3 linked regions of the Macaca mulatta genome follow. The protein of the gene in region 3 interacts with the protein of the main gene of each other region in a pairwise test. Links are inferred from orthologs where the notes say so. Each region holds a gene or a part of one and is shown on either strand. Other genes may lie near its edges. The genes, in order: MOAP1, LDOC1 and LATS1.

Region 1 (7,535 bases), on a different chromosome or scaffold from region 3:
CACCGTGTTAGCCAGGATGGTCTCGATCTCCTGACCTCGTGATCTGCCCGCCTCAGCCTCCCAAAGTGCTGGGATTACAGGTGTGAGCCACCACACCAAATTTCTAAACTTTTGTGCCCATTTCCACAAGTGTGAAACTGAGTTTTCCTATATTGCAGGATTTTTTTTTTTTTTTTTTTTTTTTTTTAAGACAGGGTCTTGCTCTGTCACCCGGGTTGGAGTGCAGTGGTATGATCATGGCATGCTGCAGCCTTGACCTCCTGGCCTCAAGCAGTCCTCCAGCTTCAGCCTCCTGAGTAGCAGGGACTGCAGGTGCACACCACCATGCCCGGCTAGTTAAAAAAATTTTTTTTTACATTACCCAGGCTGGTCTCCAACTCCTGGGTTCAAGCAATCTTCCTGCCTCAGCCTCTCAAAGTGCTAAGATTATACTGTTCAACCTTTTTCCAAGAGGACTAAATAAGAGAGTAAACGGAGAAACTTTTAGTCCAATCTTCCAAGCAGCAGCATGCAATGTTCATTTCTTTCCTTCTCCCTCCAAATTTGACACACTGATACATCTGCACTACTTGCACTAATTTGTGCACTGTCTTGTTTCACCCCATTGTTTTACTGCTTCAGTGGAAGCTCTCTTCACTTAGAAAACAGTTTCCTACCCCTGAGCACCAAGAGGAAAGAGTTCAAGGAACTAAGTCTGTGTAGGTCCAGTGGTTTGCAGATTCATGCTTTGGGAACTCTTTATTCAAATGAAATCTCTCCTGGAACCTTGATATAAACAAAACAGACAACGTCATTTTATTACCATTCCTTTATTTTAGAAGCTCACATCTATAATTTTATAACAATCGTGAAAATGTTACTCAGAACTAGATGTTTTGATGACACATAGCAGAAATCTGTAAAGATGGTCATTGAAACTTAACCAATCTCAGCATTCTATTCCGCCTTTTGTTTTGATTGCACAGAATCAATATAATTTTGATTCATACAGAAAATAACTTAGTATCTTAACCTCCACTCAGGATCTTCATCATAAATGTAGGTCAATACATACCTAAAAACTGTCAATGATCCAACATGATCACATGTGACATGCTACACTTGTGCCTCGTACCAAACAAGCTGATATTTCAATGAGATCTGGTCAGCATATACACCCGAGCCTTGTCTGTCCTCTCAGAGCACTGCACACAGGTAGTGAAAGAACTTTTGTACAATAAGAAATTCACAGGGATGAGGCCGGGCGCAGTGGCTCACACCTGTAATCCCAGCACTTTCGGAGGCTGACGCAGGTGGATCACTCGAGGTCAGGAGTTCGAAATTAGCCTGGCCAACATGGTGAAACCCTGTCTCTACTGAAAATGCAAAACTTAGCTGGGCGTGGTGGCACGAGTAGTCCCAGCTACTCGGGAGACTGAGGCAGGAGAATAGCTTAAACCCGGGAGGTGGAGGGTGCAGTGAGCCAAGATCGCGCCACTGCACTCCAGCCTGGGTGAGCACGAGACTCTGTCCCTACAACAACAACAAAGATATTCACAAGGATGAATTTAAATAGGTAAACAGCAGTGTAGAACTACATCCTTCCTAGTCAATTACACCTTTAGGAGACTTTAAATAGGCATAGAAACGACAAAGGGCTTATACTGAGAATTGCACAAAAATGAGTTACTTGGCAGCACAAGGTAGGGATTGTATGTGTCAAAGAGTATATAGACTGTTCTACCTTCATGCTCTACTCATTGCCATATCCCTTCGTGATTCCCTGAGACTCAGGTGAAATGCCCTTCTAATACTTCCTGGAGAAGGGCCTCCTCCTCCTCAGCTGCCTCGTAATCCTTTATTAGTACCAGTAACTGCAAGAAACCAGGGGCTGGGCCATCCTCTGGCAGATTAAGCTCTCTGCGAATTGTTTTGTGGACTGCGCCAGCAATGACTTGGTCTAGGCGGGCCTGATTCACAGCATCTCTCTCAATTGCTCCTCTCTGTACCAGCTTCTGTAACAAAGGCTCCAGCCTTAGTACATAAGCCGACAACTTTTCCTCATCCTTCTGATAAGTGGTTAGATATTTGACCTGCAACTCTCTAGGATTATCTGTAACCCCAAATACCTCCTCAAGAGCCTGCAGGCATTCATCGACAGTAATTAAAGGATTGTTTATCTTGAGGACACGAATAACATCAAGTGCTGGGCCTCGAAGGCTCTCTAGCAATCGCCTTCTCTTCTCTACATCTGGCACCTGCCACGCCTTTATCATCTGAGTAGTATGAAACATCCAGCGTCCAAATTCTTCTTCTCCTGGTTCTGGAGGCTCCCTGCCCGAGAACACTCTCAGCTTTTTATACTTCAAGCATTGCAGGGCAGGCTGAAGAGCCTCTAATGCCTGTGCCAACATAGGGGCCCACATTTCTGGGATCATGCCCTGCTCTAGGTCTAAGGAGCCATTTTCATGTGCAAGAGCTCTGGTCAACTCACCCACTGTCATGCCCTCTCCCGCTAAAAATTCATTTAATCTGCTTAAAAATGTATTATCAGAGTCAGGGGGCTTAAAGATCACTCTCCAGATACCCCCTTTTCCCGGTATCTCCTTAGGGACCAGTGCGTGACTAGTCTCCGCAGTAAGACCTACTAAGGCTACTTTCCTGTTCTCATCCCTCCTGAACATCCTTCCAAGCAGTCTGTACTCCCCCAAGGGAGCTAAACCAGCCTGCAGAGCCTCCTCGATTTCTGCCACACTGCAGCTCTGGGAGATGCCGGCAATCAACAGCGCTTTCCGAGGGTTCATGTCCATCCCCCTGCACCAGTCTTCCAAAAGCCTCAAAGTCATGGTGCCCGAAATAATACACTTAAGTTCTAAATATTCCAGACCACAGGCGGCCACTGCAATTCAAAGTAATCCTCCGCGGTACCTCAGGGAAATCTCGTCAACGTGCCGAGGTCCAGCAGCCTGCAAAACACAGCAGACAGGTTAGCTAAGGGTGCCAACGTCCAAGGCACGCGTGCAGGCCCCAAGCCCCGCGCGCCCTGCCCCCCGCGGCGACTCCAGGGCCGCCGCACTGCGGCGCGCGCCCCTCACCCCTCCCAGCCCTGGTGCCTGGCGGATGTCGGGCCTGCAGGGCCTCTCCGGGCCAGCTTCCACTCACCGTAATCTAGTGCTCGGTGCCCGCGTCCGTGCGCCGGCGGCGGAGGTGCCTGGCCGGGCCCCGACGAGGTGCGGGAGGGCGGGCTCCCCTAGGCTCGGACGGACACTCAGGGGCCAAAGCGACTGATGCCGGTCCTCCAGGTGCTTGTGATGCTCTCCGTAGCAAGAAGTGATCGGGCGATGACAGTCGCGATCGGGCACCGGGAGGAAAGGCTGAGGAGCGCTGAGTCGCCAGACCCAGACAGCCGCCCACCTGAAGGGACGTGCCGCCACCCGCGCAGCTAGACCCCCAGCTCCAGCGCGGATTCCAGCTGTTTGGGTCTCGCTGGGGGAAGCTGCGCGGCGGGCGGGGGCGATCTGACGTCATGAGGGGGGGCGGGCCTCTGGGGGGCGGGGCGCGCGCGCTTCCGGCCCGAGCCGGAAGCCCGGACTGCGGCGGCATCCGGGACGGCGGGCGGGCTGGCCACCCGGGACAGGAAGGTGAGATCCGGGACCTTAGCTTTGCAGGCAGGCTCTGCCGGCGGCCGCTGACTGGCGCTGGGCTCGCGACGCTGCAGGGCTGCGAGGCCCGGGCCTGGCGCAGTCAGCACAACCCTGGTCGCTGCGTGCCGGCGCTGCAGCGCGGCAGGGGGCGGGGCCGGCCGCCTGGAGGCCCTTTTGGCGGGGACGCCTCCCGGCCGGGTCAGGTCCCCATAGCGGGTCTCCGGCGGCGGCGACGGGGGCCGGGCCGCGCGTGACCCGCCGCAGTCACGCCGTTCTTAATCACTAGTAGCTGGTGCTCCAGGCTGGCGGCGCTCACCTTTCTCCTAGCCGGGTGACCCAGGGGATTTATTTTATGGTGGCTTTCTCTGAAATGCCAAAGCCACCCGATTATTCAGAGCTGAATGACTCTTTAACGCTTGCCGTGGGAACAGGAAGATTTTCGGGACCACTGTAAGTGCTTAGGAGTTACTGTCTTAACTTGGGGGCTTGACTTGTAGCACCCCGCGTTCACATCTGAAGCAGTACTGTAAAGCCGAAAGTGTTTCACCTGTCAAAGTGAAAAGTGCTGTGGGAAACTAGTTTAATTCCAGTTTCTGGAGGGCGGGTATTATGGACCTGTTTAAGTAGGATGCAGTGATTTATTCTGAGATTCCCGTTAAAAAGCAGAACTCAGTATATACTGAAATCAATGGTTATTTTGTTTTTGTTTTTTTATTGTAACTATTACACAAAACCTGTAAGTTTTACATTTCTTAATAGGCGTTTAATTATTTTAAATCTTAAGTGTGTTAGTGGGATGCTTTCGAATTTAATTTTATTTTTTTGAGACGGAGTCTCGCTCTGTCGTCCAGGCTGGAGTGCAGTGGCGCGATTTCGGCTCACTGCAAGCTCTGCCTCCCGGGTTCACGCCATTCTCCTGCCTCAGCCTCCCGAGTACCTGGGACTACAGGCGCCCGCCACCACGCCCAGCTAATTTTTTGTATTTTTAGTAGAGAAGGGTTTCACCATGTTAGCCAGGATGGTCTCAATCTCCTGACCTCGTGATTCGCCCGCCTCGGCCTCCCAAAGTGCTGGGATTACAGTTGTGAGCCACCGCGCCCGACCTAGAATTCTTGGAGATAAAGCAAGTACATTTGGAGTAGTTGCGGTGACAGTACTACAAGACCCTAATTGTATTTTCTTTTTTAATTTGAAGGCACAGAGCATGGAGAATGATGAATTTCCGTCAGCGGATGGGATGGATTGGAGTGGGATTGTATCTGTTAGCAAGTGCAGCAGCATTTTACTATGTTTTTGAAATCAATGAGACTTACAATAGGCTGGCCTTGGAACACATTCAACAGCACCCTGAGGAGCCCCTTGAAGGAACCACATGGACACACTCCTTGAAAGCTCGATTACTCTCCTTGCCTTTTTGGTTGTGGACAATTATTTTTCTGGTACCTTACTTACAGATGTTTTTGTTCCTATACTCTTGTACAAGAGCTGATCCCAAAACAGTGGGCTACTGTATCATCCCTATATGCTTGGCAGTTATTTGCAATCGCCACCAGGCATTTGTCAAGGCTTCTAATCAGATCAGCAGACTACAACTGATTGACACATAAAATCAGTCACCGTTTTTTCCCTACGATTACAAAACTGCCAGTCCTATATGGAGTCTGATCACAAGACTGCAGTTTCTTCACAGATCTCAGGAAGTTGTGGTGGGGCAGAGGCTTTTTAAAAACATGTGATCAGGGGGCTATCTTTATCTGAATAATAATGAATTTTTAGGTAAAACCTGAGATAGAGTACTACAAAATCATGTTGATGACTTCAGATTTTGGAAGTTAAATCGTGTCTGTTATTTGCATTCTTTAGAAACTTGACTGAGTACCTGAATTCATATTTCTATTCTACTGTGCAACATAGTGATGATTCAGAAATTTTTCCTTTGGGGAAAAAAAATGAATATGAACATTTCCATTGTGTTAAGTGTAAAAAGGTCCAGACATGATCATAAAATTTAAATTTTATACAATTACTTGGCTTGCTTTAAATTCTTCACACTTAAAACACCGATTCATTCTATTGCAGCTAAGCCAGCTGTTTATACTTGCTGTCAGCTTATGAGACATTGCTAAAAAAAGTATTAAGGTAATGGCTGTCTTGATAAGCAGAATTTGTTCTTCCTCTTGGTAATGGCTAGCTAAATTATTATTAGTGCTTTTAATGGTTTTATTTTTTATATTTTTCTTTTTTGTGGAGAATGAGGTCTCGCCACGTTGCCCAGGCAGGTCTCGAACTCCTGGGCTCAAGCTTTCCTCCCCTCTAGCACTCCCTAAGTGCTAGGATTACTGGCGTGGCTCCCATGCCCAGCTATTTTTAATTAAAAAAATTTTTTTTTCCATGGCTTGTGACACAGCCTCAGGAGGCCCTGAGAACATGTGCCCCATTGCTACTAGTTTAGAAAACTATTTGGGAAGAGACTAAATGGTAAATGTTGAAAGGCTAGAAATAACTTACAAATAGAAGATGGAAACAATGTGTTCAATGAAAATAAGCAGGTTATTAATTAATTAATTAAAATTATTATTTTTTTTGAGACGGAGCCTTGCTCTGTCACCCAGGATGGAGTGCAGTGGTGCATTCTCGGCTCACTGAAACCTTTGGCTTACTGCAACCTCTACCTCCCCGGTTTAAGAGATTCTCTTGCCTCAGCCTCCTGAGTAGCTGGGATTACAGGTGACTGCCCCTACGCCTGGCTAATTTCTGTTATTTTAGTAGAGAGGGTTACAGCATGTTGGCCAGGCTGTTCTCAAACTCCTCACCCAAGGTAATCCGCCTGTGTCAGCCTCCCAAAGGCCTGGGATTACAGGCATGAGCCACCATGCCCAGCTGTATTTTATTTATTTATTTATTTATTTATTTATTTATTTATTTATTTATTTATTTTGAGACGGAGTCTCGCTCTGTCACCCAGGCTGGTGTACAGTAGTGCGATCTCAGCTCACTGCAACCTCCGCCTCCCAGGTTCACACTATTCTCCTGCCTCAGCCTCCCAAGTAGCTGGGATTACAGGCACCCGCCACCATGCCCGGCTAATTTTTGTATTTTTTAGTAGAGATGGGGTTTCACCATGTTGGCCAGGCTGGTCTCGAACTCCTGACCTCAAGTGATCCGTCTCAGCCTCCCAAAGTACTAGGATAACAGGCATGAGCCACCACGCCCAGCCTATAACAGGTAATTTAGTCCAGTCCTTATCAGATGCATGAGACCCCTCTAAAAGATGCTATCAAGTCATAATCTTTCTGATTTTCTTTTCTGGCCCAAGGTCAGGTCGTCAGGCGGTAGGTTAATTACATGAAGATGTGATCCTTGTATACCTTCTCCTTTGCATTTGTACTACCTCACATCTGGTACTAATACAAATAACTAAAACATGGACACAGTAGAATGTCTTCTTTTCTGTGTGAGATCAAGATATATTTTTATACAGTTATGTCATTAATACTGGAAAACATTTTATGCTTTTAATAATTTAACACTTTTTGGTGCTGATTCTGTTGAACCCTATTCTAAGAGCTTTATGGAAATTAACTCATGTTAACTCTGAACAACCCTATAAGATGGCTATTATTATCCAGATTTCACAGATAAGGAAACTGAGGCAGAGAAGGCAAGTAACTTGCCAAAGGTCACAGCGAGTAGCAGAGCCAGGGTTATAACCAGGTATTCTCATGCCTTCGTTACTAACCACAGAGGCATAGTGCTTCTCACAAATGACAAATGTTTTAAGCACTGGGTACTGTTTGCCCAGTCATGTCAAAGAATGGAAATGGCAATATTATTGACAAGTTCTTCTCCATTTGTCTACTAGAAATCTGAAAGTTTCCTAGCAACCTCATCTTTTCACTACATCTGACTGAA
Region 2 (6,864 bases), on a different chromosome or scaffold from region 3:
CCTCTAATCTGCCTACTTCCAAATTACTGAGGTTTTAGCTATGTTTTAATAGCAGAAAATAATCAAATATACATGTGCATAAAGTACCTCTAGCTTTATATACCATTCTGCAGGATACAGCAACACGGACTTAATAGATGGCAGTGCTTATCTATTCAAATGAATAGAAAAGTCCAAAGATATATTGGTATATTTAATATGATTAAATGATTATGACCTCTAATATGACTAATTTCATTTCATTGATAGTATAATTTCAGTGGCCATTTCAAGTCTATTATACCCAAAATGAGAATTCAGGAGTCTGAAGTTCATATTTGTTCAGCATTCCTACCTATTTTTAATAGTTTTGATAGAAGTGGCACTTCCATCCTTAGACATACTTCTACTTCTTCCTTCTTTTTTGCAATGCTTTATGCCATTATCAGGAATTCCTCCCTGGGTGATGGAGCCCTTGCCAATATCTGCACTTTTATTGCAGAATCTGTCCCCAGAGTAACCAGAATCTCACACTTTCCTTTTGTGCATCTCACAGCATAACCTGTTCGTCCATGATGCATGAAGGACATCACCTAACACATACACACACACACACACAGCACACACATACAGGGTCACAGCAAGCTCATGTGCACATGCACACATACTCAGGAAATGTACATTTCAGATCACAGAAGCTCCTTGGCCTAGTTCTCCCAGATGCCATTCAGATGCTGCCTCGGCATGGCATCCTTACTGACCCTCCCTTCCTCCACAGAACACATACTCATATGTCCTCAACTTCCACCCCAGAAAGGTCATTCCTAGATCTAATCACAGCCCAGATTCTCTTCCTGGCCCTTTCCTGTAACTAATCATCGAAGTTCTGGCCCAAGGCACAGTAAAAGTAGCAGACTGGACTAACTATGAAGGCAGAGATGACATTTTATTCAATGATATAACTCCACTCAGCATAACTGGGCCATAATCAGTTTGGAATAAATGATTTTTAGTCTCACTGGATCCTTTACCTTTTAGATCTTGCTCACTTTTCCCCATTTATCCCCAATTCAAGGCCTTTCTAGTCAGGAAGAAAGTGTAATTATCTGGCCTCACACATATTATGTCTCAAATATAAACTCTCTGTATTCCAAGGGTTTTTGTATATTTTCCAAGGAGACTGGGAGAAGTGATCAGTGAATTCTAAATAACCAGGTGTCTCCTTGATTCAGATTTGGAGGCAGCAGCTTCCCGAAGAGCCCCAGATCTCATTTCCACCCAAGCCTTGGCCTCTTTTATTAAGTCATACTCACCCCTGTCCCCACCCTCCAGAAACAGCTATCCTAGGTGTGAGATATAATTCCTACCCTGAACTTTGCCTGTTCACCACGTAAACAGCTTTGTTTCTTGCTTCATATAAGACTTCAAAAAGTAAATGGGGTCTTATCATGCTCTCATTTCCATTATCGCTGAACCTGCTCTGCTCCTCTTTACGCTGACATTTTCCTACTAAAGCCACGCTCAGAGCCAGAGACTTGCTTCCTGAGAATTCTGTCCCCAGGCCCAGGAGTAACAGCCCATGGTTTACTGAGTGCTCACCATGTAGCAGGGAAAGTTCTAAATGCTGCATGGGTATGATCTCATATAATCCACACCTATCAGGTGATTAATATGAAGCCCCATATCTCATTTAATCAACACTGAGGTTTACCAGTACAAATGAAATATCTTGCCTCAAAAGGCCTTAAACAGTAAGGAAATGTGTTATCTAAATTAATTAAAGGTTATAAAGTGAAGTTGGCTCCAGACATGGTACAATGAGGGAGGACATCTGGACAGATATAAATGAGAACTCTGAACCCCTCACATCCTCCTAAACCTTTCTAAGAGGTAGTCCTCTCAAATCCCCAACCAAGCTGCTCTGCATTAAACATTTCAATGACTTAACCCGGGGCAATGGCCTCACACAGGTATGCAGTTTCTTCTCAGCAGCCACCCCCTTCACTGCTCTGAACCCTCCAGGCCCAGAGATCTCAGCATAGCCCCCAGATAGCAGTACAAAGTCTGATTTAAGAGATAACCAAGCATCTTGCTAATTTCCATAGGGAGGAATCTGGGACACATCTATGAGTGGAAATTCTAAGGATGTCTGCCCAAGGAGGATGAAATGTTTGTTAAGATCAGGGTATATCTTTATGGATGCACTTGCCCAGGATCTGGGACTTAATGTTAGCTAGAGCACCTGTAAGTGACATGTTGGCTATTTGGAGTTTGAAAGTGACAATGTACTATGTTGGCTCTCTGGAGCCTGAACTCAACAGCTGCATATAGGCAATAAGGATTAAGGGGCAGAACTTCCCTGGCACAATATTAAGGAATCCAAAAGCTCAGAGAATTAGGAGCAATACATATATATGTCCTGGTTTATGCCTGTTGTTACGGTCTAATTATTAATACTGCCCTCTTTGCCATCTGCTCAGCCAACCCTTACCCATGCCACCCTGGAGGACCCAGAGAACACACCCTTTGCCAGGGCTTTAAGAAATGCGTTGGTGAAGGAAGCATCAGAACCCTGACAAAGCCCTGAGGTAGCTGTCCCCAGCAGCCTGGAGTTGACAGCAGGGATTCCTAGGATTGGTTGTATTCCCTGATTTCCATGGGAATAACGGTAGTCACAGTGACAGTTCTAGAGGTCAGTGATAGCACTTAACTATTAAAAGACAATCATTTCGTTTTTTAGTGCTTGATATTTATTGAAAATAATGCCAATGCTTTTTCCAGGTAGTATTGAGGAGCTGGGCTGAGTGCTTGTTTGTTTTGTTTTTAGTACTATTTGTCCAAATGCATACATCTGTGGGACTGCTGCAATTTTGAAAGAAAAATGACAGCTGTGTAAAACCAGTGCATAGGAAAAAAGAAATATCAACAATTTGGCTGTCAGGCACACCGCGCCCCTGCAGCAATCTGGTATGGCAGGGGAGGACACTCGGAGTAGGTAGAAAACTAACCAGGCTGAATGACTGGCCTCTTCAGGGGTTGGTGAGCTGTCCAAATCAATGTCCGAAGAGGCAGAGCCAACTCTGGCATTTTCCAGGTTGGTCCTGATCTCGAAAGGCGGTAGTCTGTAGGTGGGATGTGGTGAGTGGATGTGAAGTGGCAGCATAGTTCTCTGGGCAGATGTAAGCCTGGCAGCAGGGCAGGTGGCAGCAGCAGGGCTATGGGTGGTCTGCGCAGTTTGTAACAGGGGCCTGGCCAATAGCTGGGGTTCAGGACACAGTTCAGATTAGCAGGGGAGGGATCCCCGGGATGGCCAGGGTAGATGACACTTCCAAGCACTTCCGAGTGAGTGAGGCTCCAGCCCCAACCCCAGCAGCAGGTAACTGGAGCACTATTCCTGGAACAAAGACAAGCACTACGGAGAAATGAAGAAAGAGCAGACGGGCGCGGGTAGGGAAGGGGACCGGAGGGCAAGGGGGAGAGCACTGGCTCCTGGCGGGGTGAGGGCTGCGGGGAGGGGGTGACGGCGTGCAGGGCCCTCCCCCCGAGGCCCGAGGGCCTAGTAATTATCCTCTTCGTCCTCGTCGTCGTCGTCTTCGTCGTCATCCCAGCCAAAGCACTGTTTCATCTCATCGAGGAAGGCTCGGTAATCACCTAGGATGGGGCTATCCATCTCGATGTAGGGCACCACCCACTCCTCGGCTTCCCCGGTGAGGAGACTGATTAGGAATGCCACCTTCATGGCGTCGTTGCAGAATCGGTTCTCGTTCACGAGCATGTAAGACGCTGTCTGCACGATAAACTCAGGGAGCCGGGAGCTCTCGCCATTAAACGTTTCGGGGAAGGGCACCGGGCAGCTCGGCGGACGTACCTGGCGCAGCAGGCTGGCCCTCTCGCACACCAGCAGCCGCAGCTGTTCCATGAGCTGGCTGTTCTCGATGGTCAGGGCGCGGTGCCGCATCAGGAGCGCGTGCAGCAGCAGCACCAGCTCATCCACCATTGCGAACAGCCTGGAAGGACAGGGCTCGGCTCGGTTCGGCTCGGCCAAGGTGCGCACGGAGGCCTCGCAGGAAGTGCGTGTCCACGGAGACGCTCGATGGCCAGGGGCTGGGGGCGGGGGGCGGTGCGCGCCGGGGTCCGGGAGGCTACGCAAGCTCCGCCCACGAGGCCATTCGGACGGATGGTGCGCCGGCGCGGCGCGGGAGGGGCGTGGCCAGACTGGCGGCCGCGGCTGCGTGGGGGCGTGGCCGGGATGGGAAGGGTTTAGACAAAGAGGGCGTGGCCAGGAAAAGGATGCATTGGGTCGCTGAACCACCGGCTTGTGGTAGGTCTCTAGGCGGGCAGTTAAAGGCTGGGGTAGGCTCCCCTAGCTCCTGGTTGTGGGGCCTGCGTTAGCAGAGGACCTGGCGAGCGCTGAGTTTGGTCTCAGAGAAGGCAAATTTGTTCAAACTGAAAGGATTAGCCACCCTTCTACCTAGGCAACTCTCACAACTCAGTTGTTCCTTCGTGGGTCTGTGGCCACTAGATTCTCTTGGCGTGATGTTTTATTAACACATTTTCTTTCTTGTTTAAATCTCACTCAGAGAAGTATTGACACTGCTGGCTGCACTGTGGGACTCACACTTCCTTTTAGGATCATGAAGACCTTCAGGGGTTCCTGCCTTTCATGAAAAAGGCAGTATTTAAACAGTGACTTCTTTAGTAGGGGAATAATATGGCATACTCCCTTAAAACAAACAAACAAAAAAAAACAAACCTAAGTAGCAGGATATAAAGAAGTTTTGCAAAATCAGCATCCAATAATCAATTGCAGGCATCCCACATATCTTTGATTCTCTATTTCTTGTCCTGCTATTAGTGCCTTTGGCCACTGGGTTTTATTCTGTACTTAAAAATGAACTGTTAAGATGTTTGTGTTTTTAAATAATTTTGTTTTTCTACTTTAAACGGATCCCTAGAGCCGACAGGAATTGTTGGCTCTGCTTTCAAATATATTGCCAATTCAGTCATGACTTGTCATTTCTACCACTGCCACCCTGATCCCCAGCCTTTCTCACCCAGACTGCTGCAACTAATCACTTAGCTTTCACTCTTTTCTTCCTATAGTATATTCTCCATAGAGTAGCCACAGGAATCGGGCGCGGTGGCTCACTCCTGTAATCCTAGCACTTTGGGTGGCCAAGGAGGGCGGATCACGAGTCAGGAGATCGAGATCATCCTGGCTAACAGGGTGAAACCCTGTCTCTACTAAAAATACAAAATATTAGCGGGGCGTGGTGGCAGGTGCCTGTAGTTCCAGCTACTCAGGAGGCTAAGGCAGGAGAATCGCTTGAACCCGGGAGGCGGAGGTGGCAGTGAGCCGAGATAGCGCCAGCGCACTCCTCCAGCCTTGGTTACCAAGCGAGACTCCATCTCTAAAAAAAAAAACAAAAACAAACAAACAAACAAACAAAAAACAGTTAGATCCCTTCACGCCCCTGCTCAAAATCCTCCAGTAGTTTCACCTCAGAATAAAGAGCAAAGTTGCAGCCAAGGCCTACAAGGCCCCTCCTTCTATCCTGTGCCTCTTCCCATTTTCTGCTGTGCTCTCATCACTGTCTTCCTTGCTGATTCTCACACCCATCAAGCAGTTCTGGCTTCATAGCCTTTGCACCTTCTATCCCTTCTCCTTTGCAAGGATGTCATCCCAGTTGGCTGCCTGACTCCTCCTACTGCTTTCAGAGAGAACTTTTCTGACCACTGGACCTATCAGAGCACCCTGTTCTCTGCCACCAATCTGTAACCCTTTACTCTGCTTCATTTATCTACATAACATTTATTGTGCTACTAGCCACCATGTCGTATGTATATATAGGACTTTGCTCATCATCTGCTTCCATTTTAGAATATATAAGTCAAAGAAACACTGCTTTTGCTATCTGGTCTATCCCTAATGTCTAGATAAGTTCTGGCCCAGAGTAGAGGCTTCATTAATGTTTGGCGTGTAATATAATCTCAGAGTGCAGATGCTGAGATAAAAATTAGAAGTTGTGGCTGCACAAAGTGTTAAATAATACTCTTTAAATTGTTAAGTGTAAGGTTGGGCATGGTGGCTCATGCCTGTAATCCCAGCACTTTGGGAGGCCGAGGGCGGGGGGGGGGGCAGATCACCTGAGGTCAGGAGTTCGAGACCAGGCTGACCAACATGGAGAAACCCCGTCTTTCCAAAAAATACAAAATTAGCCAGGTGTGGTGGCAGGTGCCTGTAATCCCAGCTACTTGGGAGACTGAGGCAGGAAAATCACTTGAACCCAGGAGGCAGAGGTTGCAGTGAGCCGAGATCACACTATTGCACTCCAGCCTGGGCAGCAAGAGCAAAACAACGTCTCAGAAAAAAGAAAAAAGAGAAACAGAAAAAAAAAAAAAATTGTTCAGTGTATTTTATCTCTGACCATGAATCAGTCTCGATTGTGAAACAATGACTGATGTAATAAAACTGGCTGAATAGATTTTTAAAGAAGTTCAATTCAATCCTTTAGGATAGAATTGAATGATCATCCATGGGAGTAGGAGACTGGGAAAGAGCCGAGAAATAGGGCCAAGACCCAAGCAGGGACCTGGGGAAGATGACACTGGTGAAAGGATGGGCAGTGAAAAAAAGAGATAGGAAGAATGTGAGCTTTTGGCCTCTCCTGTGCTATCAGCTCCGCCACCTGAGAAGTTGGCAGGCAGGGATCCACTCTCACTCTTAATTTTATCTTCAGCACCTGGCAGTGTTTACTAGTTGTTCCATAAATGTTCAGTGTAAGGATTGAGGGGAGGGATGGGAAATGTGGAAAGTAGGTCTCTGATCCTCCTGCCAAATTTATAGTTCAGAGTACAGGATGGGCCTGACTGGGACAGAGGTAG
Region 3 (7,535 bases):
CCATGTTGGCCAGGTTGGTCTTGAGCTCCTGACTTCATGTGATCCATCCATCTCAGCCTCCCAAAGTGCTGGGATTACAAACACGAGCTACTCGCCTGGCTATTATTACTTTTGTAAATAGAGATGGAGAGCTTGCTAGGTTGCCCAGGCTGGTGTCAAACTCCTGAATTCAAGTATTCCTCCTGCCTCAGCTTCCCAAAATACTGGGATTACACCATGCCTGGCCCACAAAATGTTTTGAAAAGGTTCCATTGTGATATAGTATTGTGCACTCAAACTGTCATTCAATAGACAATGCAATTAAAGCCATAATTATTAAATTCAAGCAAGATCACAGAATTTTCAAAGGTAAGAGACTAAAAATCTGTCAAAACTTTTGCAGTTATCTTCAGAGGAAGCTGTTTAATTAGAAGAAAAAAAAAAAAAACTAAGCAAAAAGGAAAGCAACATCCCAGTATTCTTCATTATACCTTAAAATTATACACACAATCATAAAGACAACATAGGTTAAGATAATTAACTAGCATTACGAAAAGCAGCCTGTTATCATGATGTTGCATTAACTACCCAAAGTAATTCAGAAGAATCCTAGATTCTGAATGTGAATAAGGCTGAGACTCAAACTTTATTGTGATGAAAATGGTATACAATTGAACGAATAAATGTATGCTACTGATTATTAATAAAATCTTTATGTTTACTTTCTGCCCGCTAAAAAATTGCTACTAAATAGACGGCTTATCTTAGAGTTAGTGGCATTTCAGAACTGAGAAAATATGATAGTTCAACCTCATTCCTTTAAATACCTTGATATTGGCCGGGAGCGGTTGCTCAAGCCTGTAATCCCAGCACTTTGGGAGGCCGAGACGGGCGGATCACGAGGTCAGGAGATGGAGACCATCCTGGCTAACACGGTGAAACCCTGTCTCTACTAAAAATACAAAAAACTAGCCGGGCGAGGTGGCGGGCGCCTGTAGTCCCAGCTAATCGGGAGGCTGAGGCAGGAGAATGGTGTAAACCCGGGAGGCGAAGCTAGCAGTGAGCTGAGATCCGGCCACCGTACTCCAGCCTGGGCAGCAGAGAGAGACTCCGTCTCAAAAAATAAATAAATACCTTGATATTGAACTTCATCATGTATATGTACTATTTTTATTTTATTTATTTATTTTTTTGAGACGGAGCCTCACTCTGTCGCAGGCTAGAGTGCAGTGGTGCCATCTCGGCTCACTGCAACCTCCGTCTCCCGGGTTCAAGTGATTCTCCTGCCTCAGCCTTACAAGTAGCTGGGACTACAGGCGTGCGCCACCACACTCAACTAATTTTTGTATTTTTAGTAGAGATGGGGTTTCACCATGTTGGCCAGGCTGGTCTCGAACTCGAGACCTCACGTAATCCGCCCACCTTGGCCTCCCAAAGTGCTGGTTACAGGCGTGAGCCACCACGTCTGGCCAGATGTACTATTATTTATAAATCCCTGACTGATGGACATTTAGGTTGTTCCTCATTTCTTTGCTAATGTAAAATAATACTGCAAACTGATAACTTCAATTATACTGGTAATATTCTAGTTCTGAGGACAGGTGGTAAGTTCATGGATGTTCATTTTATTATGCTTCATAGTTTAATAAAATGAACATATATATAATATATATAGCCTATTCCTTGCACATAACAAAAATTGTGAACAAAAAAAAAATTGCTGCAATAAAAATTCTTGTGCACAGATTGCTGAGCATTTTCCTTAAAATAAATTCCCAGAAGTGGAATTGCTGGATCAAAGAGAATACTTATTTAAAATTCTAATATTTATTGTCAGACTGCCTTCTAGAAAGTTATACTAATTTTATAATCCCCACAACAAGGTATGGTTAATACTGGCATTACTAAATCTCAATAATCTTTGCTGCTATGTCATGTGAAAATTCAAATTATTACTAGGCAAAGAGAATTTTTAAAATAATTATTCAAAGCAAAACTGTTCACCTTTTTAACCCACACTACAATGGGGCCAGATTCATCTTAATAAACAATTCTGATCATGTCACCTACCTACTCCATAACTTTCAATGACTTTTAACCTCATGGTTAAAGTAAGAGCTCTGGAATCAAACTGCCTGGGTATGACAAATCGCCATTTTTTTTAAAAAAAAGTTCAGACCCTCATCAAAAATACAAACATCAACAAACAAGTATCACTGATTAGTCTGTCCAACTTAGGGGAAAAAAATGGTACCATTACATAAGATTTCAAAGTGTTAACTTGGGTTGAATTAAGTTTATCAGAAAAGTACCCTGGCTGGGTGCAGTAGTGCACCTGTAGTCCCAGCTACTTGAGAGGCTGTGGTGGAGGATTGCTGGAGCCCAGGAGTTGGAATCCAGCACAGGCAAGATAGCGAGTTCCCATCTTTAAAGGAAACTGCATACTGATATTTTCTTCAGTTCACTTTCTAATAATTGTCAGATCAAAAGTGAAAGCAACACTGTATCTTCATGCTGAAAAATGATTGCTGTTTCTACTTGGTGAAAATGTTATTCAATGACTAAATAACTTTTGTGATGTATAACAATCTCCCATTAATATAAATAAAACATCTAAAATAACTAAACAACCAGGGTTAGAACCGTTCCAAAGACTATTTATACAGAACAACAAGGACTTGCAATAAAAACAAAACAAAAATAAAAACGACCCATACAATGAAAGCCAGATATTATACATTAAAAATGTAGTAGAAGTATTTTTTGGTGAGCAGCAAGACATATTTAATCAATATTTAGGCACAGAATGCACCATTCCAAGCATGGACCATGATCTAGTTTCTTGCAGTAGCAGCCAACTGGACTAACACAGTGCTACTTCTTTTACTGTTCAATCAAATTCCTCCACTGCCTTAGGGAATCAACTACCCTACTTTACCGTCAGAGATAAGCTTCGTTTTCGTAGCAGAGAACATTCACTCCAATTATAATGTCCTAGCTTTTCTTCCTCATGGAGGAAATTTGATAAAAAATTTTAACCTTCAATAAATAATTCATAAAGGTCTGACAAGTTTCATGATCGCTAACATTCAAATCCATTTCCAAAACTGGAGTTACACAATATACTTCTGTGCATGAGATTATACTTATTGTTCACTAGATTTATGAATAACTTCTGGAGGACAATACATGTTTTAAAAGTCGTATTAACATATAAGTTGGCAAACATTAAATTTTGTTCCCTTAGAAATTGACAGAGAAGTCAGAACAGTGATAAATCAAGTCATCTGAGAGTCACTGTTCCCTTAATTGTCGTTCTTTCATTTGCTGTATTTATATACACACTGCTACTCCATAAAGACTTCTCCATCTTTCCCACCACTTTCAACTAAGAACAGTAACCTAAAATCACACTGAACTAGACAGAAGAGACTCCAAGGATTTCTCCAAGGTATACCCAGGATCACGGCCCTCTAGGATTCAAAGAACTGTAGCCCTTTTACTGCAATTTTCCTTCAGAACCACCTTTCCCTTTCCTTCCCTCCTGGACACCGCCGACTAGCGTGTTGGGGGTGGGGTGGGAGACCGTCGGCGCAAGGCAGCCAGCAAGACAGGCTCTACCCAGCCAAACCTGCACCTTCGAGGCCGAAAAGCCTGGGGCTCTTCCTGCAGCACCGGGCGCGGCCAACCCTCGCTTCCCCAGGGCAGGGCTCAGCTCGGGTCAATGCAACCAGCCAAGTCAGGCCCGGAGCGGGCCGGCTCTGCCCGCCAGTCCACAGCAACCTCTGGACCCTCGCCAGCGGGGATGGGCGTGGGCCCCGGCGGCCACCGCCCCGCCAACTCGAGCAAGGGAGGAGAGCACCCGCTACGCCGGCCCGGGACCTACCTGGAGGGGAGAGCAGAGCTCCTGGACAGCAGCCACGGGCCTGAGGGCGGACGCCGAGGCGGCCGGAGCCCGTCCCAGCAACCCCAAGTATCCCTGGTGGGGCAGAGCGGGGAGAGGAGCGGGCCGGCTGCCGCGGGCCAGCGCGACCCGTCGCGGGGGTCGCGAGGACCTGGCTCTCCCCTTAACACCAGGACACTGCCGCCGCCGCCATTTTGCCTTCCACTCAGTGTCGCCGCCGCCGCACTCCGCTGCAGGTTTCCCGGATGTGGGCATTTCCCGGCGTCGCTTGCGCGGGGGCCGAGGACTGGGGGCTTCTGCCCGCCCGGCTGCTGCGAGGGAGCGCACAGCCAGCGGCCTCCGGGCCTCGTTGCGTCGCCCGCCGCTCTGATCGTTCGTGAGCGTCGCCCCACGTTGCTCCCACCTGCCCCTGCCCAGACTACTCGCCCGCGGCCGTGGGTTAAGGCTCTCTCCTGTTGATTCAATCCTTTTTCCCATTGATCTATTTCTCTGGACCGAGTAGGGATGCGCATTTCACGGAGCTACGTTCTCACAAGGGAACAACTGTGAGTCGCTCTGGGAAACCTTGCTGTGGGACCTCAGAATTCGAGATTTTTGGCGCTTTGAAATAAAATTTTATTCTTGCTTAGCGTTCTTTCCCCGAACAAGCCTGTGAGCTTCCAGCATCTGTATTTTCTGAATCAGGCAGATAAGAAATTCTTGAGCCAGGACCGATTGATTAGCAGCAGTTTAGAGATCTTATCTGTCAACCGCATCCGTAGAAGGAGGTCGTTATTGCCATAATTGGAGTAACGGTGACGGTGTGACAAGAGGTTTTACTTATGGTTAAACTGAATGTAAAGTGTGAGACCGGATCGTTGGGTTTGATGTATAAAGTACCGTCTACCCTTTGTGAAGAGCGCCTTTGCCAGTTTTTCCTCTAGGAAATATACAGCTGGCGTTTTTAAGTACCTTCTTTCGTAAGTTTTCTACTACAGACTATAAAAAAATTAAAGACATCTTTTTCTGACGTTAAAGTAGTAACTGGCTACTTACTGTATCCAGAAATCCAAATGTGAAAACCTGGTAAAATATGTTCCGGCCGGGCGCGGTGGCTCACGCCTGTAATCCCAGCACTTTGGGAGGCCAAGGCGGGCGGATCACAAGGTCAGCAGATCGAGACCATCCTGGCTAACACGGTGAAACCCCGTCTCTACTAAAAATAAAAAAATTAGCCGGGCGTGGTGGCGGGCGCCTGTAGTCCCAACTACTTGGGAGGCTGAGGCAGGAGAATGGCGTGAACCCAGGAGGTGGAGCTTGCAGTGAGCCGAAATCGCGCCACTGCACTCCAGCCTGGGCAACAGAGTGAGACTCCGTCTCAAAAAAAAAAAAAAAAAAAAAAAAGATTATGTTCCAAGAATATTTGGTTGAAAGCCTATTTTCTACAAGCACAGAGTTTGTATAAGGTAGACAATGTGACCCAAGGTGGGTCACTAAAGAGCTTACTTTCTTCAACGGAAGGGTGACCCATGAAAACGTTTTCAGCCCTAAAATTATATGAATTATAGGAATCTAATATGTCCACAGGTCTACTTGCCCTATCCAAAAGGATTCTGCATCTGGAAGAACAGACTGCCCCCAGAATCCTGTCACCTCTGTCATCAACCAATAGTATTCAATGCTCTCTAAACCTAAAGGAAAGTATCTCCACAAACTCTCATCTTTGGGGAAATTCCTAGATAATTCAGGGAGCTGAGTAAATTGCTCTGTGTAGGACTAGGAGTCTTACTCCTGTGAAGTAGGGCGAGAGATGAAAGAGCAGGGAAAGGAGAGGTGCAATGATCAGCAAGAGAACAAACCGACGAGATGAAAAGCAGCGGGGACTGCAGGTGTGGAGAGTGCTGATGGTTGGGGAAATACTTACTGTGGGTGCTGGATGTGTGTGTGGGAATGGCGATACCTGCCATCGCATTTGCAGGTTTTTATATCATTGTGATGGAAGATCTTGGTCCAGTTTCAGCCTACTCAACTCTTCAGTGCTTCATGGAAATGGGGCTTTTTTGTTTTTAGCAATAGATGTAGAGTCCGATTTCATGCTTGAGTGACCTTAGAAAGGAAGGAGGGGGCAATGTACATGGAAGAAGTCTGGAGACCAGTGTGACCCTGAGAACATAAACCCTTCCAGAAATTCATGCAATCTTAGGGTAAGACATCAGACTATGTGCCACCCACTCTTAAGGGAGTTGTGCTCCATCATCTTGACTCTGTCTCAAATAAATAAATAAATAAAGTGGATAATTCAAATACATTATTTGAAATTCTGCAGATTTATCCCTTCTCCTTCATTTATTTATTCAAACATTTATTGGCCGGGCATGGTAGTTCACACCTATAATCCTAGCACTTTGGGAGACCGAGGTGGGCGGATCACTAAGTCAGGAGCTCGAGACTAGCCTGGCCAACATGGTGAAATCTTGTCTCTACTAAAAATACAAAAAATCGGCCGTGGTGGGCGCATGCCTCTAGTCCCAGCTACTTGGGAGGCTGAGGCAGGAGAATCGCTTGAACTCGGGAGGTGGAGGTTGCAGTGAGCTGAGATTGTACCACTGTACTCCAGTCTGGGTGACAAAGCAAGGGTCTATCTTACATAAAAATAAATAAACAAACAAATAAACAAAAGAAAAACCCTTTATGTCTGTATGGCCTCATGGATATCTATTTTATGCTTTGGGTATTTATTTTGTTGCTCAAGTTGTTTCAGTTTTGGCCACTGGAGCTCTTTCAGTTGGCTTGTCGCATGTGTGTGTGTGTTTTAAAGAACTTTCTGCCCAGTTTGGTGGCTCACCCCTTTAATCCCAGCACTTCTGGAGGCTGAGACAGGAGAATCACTTAAGCCCAAGAGTTCGAGACCAGCCTGGGTAACATAGCAAGACCTCATCTCTATAAATCAGCCAGGTGTGGTGGTACACAACTGTAGTCCCAGCTACTCAGGAGGCTGAGGCAGAAGGATCGCCTGAGCCCAGGAGGCCAACGCTGCAGTGAGCCTAGATCTAGCCACTGCACTTCAGCCTGGGTGACAAAGCAAGACCTCACCTTTAAAAAAAAAAAAAAAAGAACTTTCATATTTTCAGGCAGTACAAGATGCTCCAAAATCTTTTTTTTTTTTTAGATGGGGTCTCACTCTGTCACCCAAGTTGAAGTGCAGTGATATAATTATGGCTCACTGCAGCTTCAACCCCCAGGACTCAGGTGATCCTCCTGCCTCAGCATCCGAGTAGTTTGGGATTACAGGCGCAGGCCATCACGACTAATTTTTTTTTTTTTTTTTTTTTTTTGAGACCAAGTTTTGTTCTTGTTGCCCAGGCTGGAGTGCAGCAGTGCCATCTCGGCTCACCGCAACCTCCGCCTGCTGGGCTCAAACAATTCTCCTTCCTCAGCGTTCCTGAGTAGCTGGGATTACAGGCATGCACCACCATGCCCAGCTAATTTTGTAGTTTTAGTAGAGAAGGGGTTTCTCCATGTTGGTCAGGCTGGTCTTGAACTCCCGACCTCAGATGATCTGCCCGCCTCAGCCTCCCAAAGTGCTGGCATTACAGGCGTGAGCCACCATGCCTGGCATGCCTAATTTTTGTATATTTTGTAGAGACCAGCTCTCCCTATGTCGCCCAGGCTG

What was found.
Region 1: the proteins of LATS1 (region 3) and MOAP1 interact in a two-hybrid assay, tested with the Homo sapiens proteins (2 studies listed by BioGRID and IntAct). The two-hybrid records come from large-scale screens. The link is inferred for Macaca mulatta from reciprocal best matches to the Homo sapiens genes LATS1 and MOAP1.
Region 2: the proteins of LATS1 (region 3) and LDOC1 interact in a two-hybrid assay, tested with the Homo sapiens proteins (2 studies listed by BioGRID and IntAct). The two-hybrid records come from large-scale screens. The link is inferred for Macaca mulatta from reciprocal best matches to the Homo sapiens genes LATS1 and LDOC1.

The regions. Positions count from the first base shown.
Region 1 is NC_133412.1:166,433,698-166,441,232, forward strand, and holds MOAP1 (modulator of apoptosis 1), read right to left. Parts: upstream 3,458-7,535; 5' UTR 3,142-3,457; intron 2,946-3,141; 5' UTR 2,826-2,945; coding exon 1,770-2,825; 3' UTR 794-1,769; downstream 1-793. Other genes in the region: LYSET (lysosomal enzyme trafficking factor), read left to right, coding at 3,976-4,073, 4,819-5,230.
Region 2 is NC_133426.1:147,688,051-147,694,914, reverse strand, and holds LDOC1 (protein LDOC1), read right to left. Parts: upstream 4,071-6,864; 5' UTR 3,977-4,070; coding exon 3,536-3,976; 3' UTR 2,721-3,535; downstream 1-2,720. UniProt on the Homo sapiens protein: May have an important role in the development and/or progression of some cancers.
Region 3 is NC_133409.1:68,222,281-68,229,815, forward strand, and holds the start of LATS1 (serine/threonine-protein kinase LATS1), read right to left. Parts: upstream 4,097-7,535; 5' UTR 3,866-4,096; exon of another isoform or gene 3,704-3,865; intron 1-3,703. UniProt on the Homo sapiens protein: Negative regulator of YAP1 in the Hippo signaling pathway that plays a pivotal role in organ size control and tumor suppression by restricting proliferation and promoting apoptosis.